2 linked regions of the Danio rerio genome follow. The protein of the gene in region 1 interacts with the protein of each later gene in a biochemical or structural test. Links are inferred from orthologs where the notes say so. Each region holds a gene or a part of one and is shown on either strand. Other genes may lie near its edges.

Region 1 (3,500 bases):
ACCCCACGCTTCCAGTCTGACGCATTTGTGTGTGTATGAATAGAAGTCTATGGGAGGAAAAGCCCAGTGTGACCGCACCTTACGTGTGTTGGAGTAGGGTTGGAACTAAACTGTGCAAAGCTGCGGCCCTCCAGGGACACCCCTGGACTGAACAATCAAGAATAAACTAAAAGAAATGTAATTCAACTCGATTCATTTAAAATGAGTTCCATTTATATTATAAATTTATATTTTTCCTCTTCAAAAGTGTTTGTGTAACCTAAACAGAAGTTTTTTTTCCTCGCAGTTCTGCGATTATAAAACATACAATAAATTCAATAAATGCATTAACAATACCATGGTTAAAACATTCAAAAATAGTCAAGATACAAGTTGCTAACCAGTTACAATAAGATTTCGTTGCAAATAGACATGGGACAAAGTGTACCGCCGTTTGGAATAGAAATAGTTTGTGTTTTTGAAACTAATGAATGACAGCAGAAGTCATTGATTCATTTGAATTATTCAGCCTGACATGTTTACTGCTCCGAAATATTTGAAGTTTTTTTAAAAAAAAAAAAAAAAGAATATATTTTAGAGCAATAATCACAATACCATGAAACCGTAATATTGTTATTTTGATGATATTGTTACATTATTGTTTTCAAATCCAGAATGGAAACATTAATACACAATGTGCACATATTATAGTCATGTGACAGCCTGAAGAACGTCAGGTCTTTTCTACAGCAGGTGGTGCTGCAGTACTCATAAAAGAAAAAGCTGGGAATATATTCAGGTTGGATGGGGTTAAAAAAGAAAAAGGAATTATTTATATTGGAGAGAAAATGGTCTTCTTTTCTTTTTTGTCCAGTAAAGGGTGGAGGCATGTAGTGATACTGTGTGAACTTTATAAAAGTTTTAAAAGTCTTTGATAACAGAATCCTCTCAGCTAGAGGTTTACAAGAAGCCTAAACAGAAAAGTTTCAGATATGCAGAACTGAGTAAAGTCACACAGCAATGAGAAAGCTACGCATGTCTGAAGGAAAGAAGGGAAGGAATAAGAAGATAAATAAAAGAGGATTAAAGTCTGGGTCAACTTAAAGCCGAAGTAAAAAAAAAAAAAAAAACAGACAAGGGATATGAAATGAGGAGAGCTGCTAGCTGTAATTAAAATCAAGTGGGCCCTCATATCTACAGTCTGGGGATTTTGTTTCATTTACCACACAGTCTGAAACTTCTTTTTAAGAACAGTTCGAATTAATCAACTGAAATGAGACCACTTACATTACACACTTACTTGCTTGATTGCAACCAACCAGCAGATTCATTAAATGGAAAATAAACTAACTGGATATTTTGGAGTGTTCGGAAACAATTTCAGTTACTGTTTTTAAAAATATCTGCATGTAAACTTTCACAACCCTCTAATTCTGTGAATTTTGTAAGTAATTATTTGTACAGGACATAAATGAGGAATTTCTCAGTAAAAAAGTATGCATTACATGATACAAAATAACAAAAACAGGTGTGTTGAAACAATGACAAACTTGCCAAGTCATTTAGTGGAAAAGCAAGTTTTTACGTAAAAAAAAAACAGGATGCAAGATAAGAAAATTAAAATGATAAAACACTAAACAAGTGTAAACGGGATTAAACATTCATGTATTTGACTTGGCTCATGTACTTACTCACCGCATACCCTAACATGACCTAACATGTGAACTTTATGGGATGTTTTTATCAAGTACAACAAAGCAATCCTTCTCTTGCCACCCACATCCTTTTCACATGCTTAATTTTCCACTTGCTCATATCGAGTCACGTAACATGGGTTTATTCGTTCATAGTATGGAAGCACCTTGCACATGATGCAAACGTGATGTAATAACATTTAAAACACCTGGAAAAGGGAAAGAATGAATGCACCAATTTCATCCTTACCCTAGTGTGTTGCCCACTGCGTGTCCTGCTGGTCACTGGTGTTTTCCCTCGACTCCTGACTGGTCTCTCCACAACAGGGATCAGTTCAGCCTCCACTTCTGGTTCAGGCACAGTCACGGGGGCCGGAGCTACGGGTTCTAACAGACATGCAAGACGAAGTTAAACAAGTTCATACTATTGCATCTTATTTATTTATTATAACGCCAGCTTATTTGACAATATCGTCATAGCAAAAATATTTTATGAATAATACAAATATAATACATTTAATAAAAACATTAAAACAAACAAGTTGCATTACATTGAACTGTTTGAATTAATATATACGCAGTAATGAAATATCCTTAAATTAGTAGTTTTCTATATTTGTTTTATGTATTTTATTGCATCATGAGACCTTGATCATTCCTCCAACAACTTTTAACCTTGAAAAGTTTTAAAAAGAGACTTTTATTTTAATAGTTTAAAGTGATATATGGTGTTGGTGTTGCATAACGGTACAAAATCTGCCAGTACATTTTATTATTTTACACTATTTTTTCTTTCCATATTATTATTTCTTAAACATATTTTTTCAAACTACTAAAACATCAATAAGTCACTTTTTTGAACTGTAGAGCTGAATTATCCACATCACGAATTACAAAATACAGAAGCAGATATGTTATACACTGTAGGTTAAAAAAAACAGTTAATTTTACATTTGATTACTCAATAAATGGGGCAGGACAAAATAGCGATATACATAAGGTGGCTATTCTATAAATGGCAGATTGAACCTCATATCAAATGTTGCAATTCTAAGAAATATATGTGATGTTAATAAAAGTAGTATATCTTATGACTTTAATGCATTTATCCCTCTTGATTTACAAATATGATATATTGTGGATGGTTTTCTTGCGATACATCACTAATATGGTGACCTGTCATTATCAGGGGCAATATATCATGATGATATCGTAGTGTAATACGGTACCTGAATATCGGACTATTATTTCACTTTGGTCTTTGTTCTATCTTAAATATTCATTCTTGCAATTTCTTTGATTCACTCCTCTGCAAGATTATTCCAATCAAAGGTAATGATTTTATTCCAAGTAGAGCTTTATGTCAGAAAAAATTGTATTCACATAGAAATATAAAAATCGCAAGAGAATAAAATAGTACAATGTCAGATTTTTTTTTTTTTAGGTATTTGGTAATGTGTTACCTTCCTCCCTGTCGCTGTACTGGTCTGAATCATTGTTGCCATTCTGATTGCCATCAGTCTGTGACGTCTCTGAGGGAAGAGCCACAGCTACAGGAGGACCCTGATCCAGCAGCTTCTGAAGCCGCTTCTCATACACCTTCCTAGTGGATGCTGATGTGAAGAAGACATTAAATGTCAGTATTAGGTCTACACAAGAATCATCCTGCCCAAAATGTAATGTTTATTAAAGAACACATATATTTAGGAGATATAGTTGTTATTACAATTAAGACTAGTGTGTTATTTTCCACTTGATTTCCACTTGGTTTTCTGGAAATCCGAACAGTATTGAGGTAAAATTGAAAATAAAGCACCGTCTATTTGA
Region 2 (3,994 bases), on another chromosome or scaffold:
CAGCCAAATGTTGTACAGCTTTTCTACAGGAAGTCTTGGCTGGTTTGATGTTGACCCATTGTAATTTTTTCCCTCTCTGAATACTTTGCAAGCTTTTGACACATTACATTCTTGGATAACAATAAATAAATGTTCAAGTATGAATGCACTTTCAGTTGAATACTTAATATGCCGAGAAACATGTTACGTTGTGAATGCTGTACAGTTACAGTAATGTGGTACATGCTTTAATTTTAATTGTACTAGTTAATGTCAGTAATGGTTTAAATTGGTTTTAATTTAGTTTAAGTTTAGTTGTAGTCGTATGTTGCACATCTGTTTTGATTTATTAAACTGATGTTTCAGTTTATACACGAAGGCAAGCGATGCGTATTGTGATACATTTATTTTTGTAGTTATTCTTGTTTCCAGTTTCTACATGCGCGCGCGCGCGCACACACACACACACATCTCTCTCTCTCTCTCTCTCTCTCTCTCTCTCTATATATATATATATATTTAAATATTTCCCAAATAATGTTTAGCAGAGCAAGGAAATTTTCACAGTATGTCAGATATTTTTTTTTCTGGAGAGTATTTATTTAATTTCGGCCAGAATAACATCAGTTTAAATATTTTAAAAAGCCATTTTAAGGTCAAAATTATTAGCCCCTTCAAGCTGATTTTATCCCGATAGTCTACAGAACAAACCATCGTTTTATAATAACTTGCCTAATTACCCTAACCTGTCGAGTTAACCTAATTAACTTAGTTAAGCCTTTAAATGTCACTTTAAGCTGTATAGAAATTTAAGCTAAAGAAAAATATCTAATATTTACTGTCATTATGGCAAAAATAAAATTAATCAGTTATTAGAGATGAGTTATTAAAACAATTATGTTTGGAAAAATGTGTTGGAAAAAAAATCGTTATTTTTTTTTTCTTCTTTTCTAACATCTCAATTCTGTTTTGTTGTTGATTACAGTTATCGACCAAAATCATCGCGTAAAATGTAGTCTGACTACATTGGATTGTTACTTTGTTTATATTCATTATAACAAGAGCGAAGGGCACGTGCATATTAAATGATACTTTCAGCGCGTATTTGTGTGCTGTTTGAATTTTGTCTCAACTGCACCGTTGACCGTCTGATGACGTGGAGGTTGCTGATTGAGCGTATGTGGTCACATGTCAGCGTGGTTCTGATGAGCGGCCATATTAGTTCAGTTCATTCTTTCATGCCACTGGACTCACAGTAAGACACCTAAACATTTATTTTATATTTCACATTAATACTAATGTAGGATACAGTAGTGTCTAGAAGATCACTTTTAGGGTTACACTTTGTTAGGTGTTTTGTTTTTATACTTTACCACAAGGTAAATCGTTTTTGTCGTATTCGTAGTCATTAGCGTTGATTCATTTGATTAGATGTTTGCTATTCACGTTAAATCCTCATCTGGTGGTTATTTAGTCGAAGAATGACCAGACATTTATAATTCACAGTGAATCTTGTTTTACTCATAATTCAGCTGAAGAATGGCGAGCGCGGCGTGTACTCCGGCCGGGCAGCAGTCGTTGTCCCGCGGCACCAGCAGCACTCCACTGAGCCCCGCGCGGATCTCCAGGCTGCAAGAGAAAGAGGAGCTGCAGCAGCTCAATGACCGGCTTGCCGCCTACATCGACACAGTCCGTAGTCTGGAGTCCGAGAACAGCGTCCTGCAAATACAGATCAGAGAACGAGAGGATGTGCGGAACCGCGAGCTCACGGGGCTCAGAACACTCTACGAAACCGAGCTGGCGGACGCACGGAAGGCGCTTGATGACACGGCACGGGAGCGCGCACGATTGCAGATTGAACTGGGCAAGATTAAAAGCGAGCAAGAGCAGCTACAGCACACGTGAGTAATTTAAAAATATAAAGTTTTTTTTTTTTTATCCAGAGCAGATTTTTAGAATTATTTAGAAACTATTACAAGCAGCTTCCGCTGACCTATCACTGCTACATGCATAACAACTGGCTATGTGTTACCATTAGTTGAGAGAATAATTTTTTTAATTTGATCACTTAAATAAAAAATGTATACCCCATTCCTGGCCTTTTAGAGTTTTTTGTTTAGAGTTTTTCAGCTTTCTACATTGGAAATCTCAGTTGTTAGCCCAAAGCTTGCCATCATATAGGACCTGTCAGCTGTCCTTTTCTAACTAGGGATTTGAGTAGATGTGTGATGAATTGGTCTCACACTAACCAGTTTTATTGCCATGCACATTGGGAGACCGTATTGCACATTTTAGACTAATTTATTCATCAGAGTTGTGACCTGCATTTGTTGCTTGATTGACAGGAGCAGCAGTCGTTAGTGTTGTTTCAGTGCTTTACACTGAACAGTCTTATTGGTGTAGAGCAGCTGGAAGATGTGAATGTTCAGCAGCTGCTTTAGAGTTTCAGTGTGAATCGGCTCTTTGTATGTCTTCTAATGTGAGTAACAAATGTTTTGATATTCTGTTATAGAGTCAGTTAAAGTCAGAATAAGTCATTCTGAAAATGAGAGTTGACATGTCTTTCCGAACCCACTGTCTCAAAACCCAACAAGTCATCTTCTGAATTCATGTAGAAGTTTGATCAGTGATTTTACACCAGGGGTGCCCAAACTCTGTTTTGATCCTGGAGCGCCAGTGTCCTGCGTAGTTTAGCTCCATCTTCCTTCAACATGCATGCTTGAAAGCTTCTAGTATACCTAGAAAGAGCTTGATTAGCCAATGCAGACGTGAATGAAAATGATTTGTCATGTTAAGCAATAACTTCTCTTCCAAATACTTTTTTGATTGAACCTTGATTCATTCACCTCTTGAATATACAAAATCTCTTTAGATTTCATGAAAAGAAAATGTATTTGTTATTCTAAAAATGAAAGGAAAGACTTTTGCTTGTGGTGATATAAGGGTCTGTAGATGACTGTTTTTTTTTAAGATTAAATAAACCTTCCATTCAAAATTAGAAAGAAAAAGCTTATGGTTGGACCGATCATGTCTTCTAGCCAGTCTCGGCTGTGTGTGAGACATTCCACACATTCCAGCAGCATTCTGCAGATTTTAAGTTCACCTCAAGAGAAAGAGCTTTGGAGATTACAGAAGCACGAATAATAAACTTGAAAGTATCTTGATTATTAGCTTCCTAATCATGATCAAGTTAAGTTAGTTCAAGACCAAACCATCAACAGACCAGCCTGGCTCAAACCTCCAACCTCAAGCCATGAAGCCAGGTTCATCCCCAAAATTATATTAGCAGGACTGGAAAGTAGAAACAAGCATGATGACAATAGAGATGGGAAAATTGGTTTTCTGTTTCTGGATTAGAGACTCCTGCATTGATGTTTTAGTGTAAAAATATTAATTGAATAGATTTCTGGTTTTAAGAGTGCAGTCCGTGCAACTTCAGTCATGTTAAACTAATATTTATGTTGTTGTTTTTTTCCACAAATATGACATCTTTATTCAGTTGCATCTGTGTTAATTATCAAACTGCACAATACACCCTTATAGGGCTTTTAGTCCAAAAGTATGCACAATGATTTTTTTACAAAAGAAAATGCATTTATCTATTTAATTTACTTAAACTAAGAAATCTAAAGAGATTTCAGTTCCTCCTCCATCTTCCCTTGTACTGTTATGCTTTCTGCCAGTGCAATGTGGTAGACCCTAGATTAAAAACCGGAGTAATGCTTCATATCGATATCAAGAAGTTCTTTGATGCACTCAAGAAGTAGTTAACCCCCTTTTAAACTAAAGTTATTGGTCTTGAAGGGGCACACTCGAGAACCTGAATGGATGGTTGAAATGTGGCTATTCTTGGTAAACTTTTTGGATGTTTCAAGTAAAATGTTAATTTGATTTGGGTATATATATATTTTTAAGCCACTTACAAATATGTCTTCTAAATTTAAAATGACAGCGTGCATTTGCAGAAAGTGATAGTAGGTCAATATAAAATATATATTATTTTAACATGATTAAA

The links. The genes of interacting proteins can lie anywhere in the genome.
Region 2: the proteins of tmpoa (region 1) and lmnb1 form a complex in vitro, tested with the Homo sapiens proteins (2 studies listed by BioGRID). The link is inferred for Danio rerio from reciprocal best matches to the Homo sapiens genes TMPO and LMNB1.

Annotation. Positions count from the first base shown.
Region 1 is NC_133179.1:17,454,669-17,458,168, forward strand, and holds part of tmpoa (thymopoietin a), read right to left. Parts: intron 3,287-3,500; coding exon 3,137-3,286; intron 2,061-3,136; coding exon 1,924-2,060; intron 1-1,923. UniProt on the Homo sapiens protein: May help direct the assembly of the nuclear lamina and thereby help maintain the structural organization of the nuclear envelope. Possible receptor for attachment of lamin filaments to the inner nuclear membrane.
Region 2 is NC_133185.1:18,316,619-18,320,612, forward strand, and holds the start of lmnb1 (lamin-B1), read left to right. Parts: upstream 1-1,194; 5' UTR 1,195-1,234; exon of another isoform or gene 1,235-1,358; intron 1,359-1,485; exon of another isoform or gene 1,486-1,511; 5' UTR 1,512-1,518; coding exon 1,519-1,880; intron 1,881-3,994. UniProt on the Homo sapiens protein: Lamins are intermediate filament proteins that assemble into a filamentous meshwork, and which constitute the major components of the nuclear lamina, a fibrous layer on the nucleoplasmic side of the inner nuclear membrane.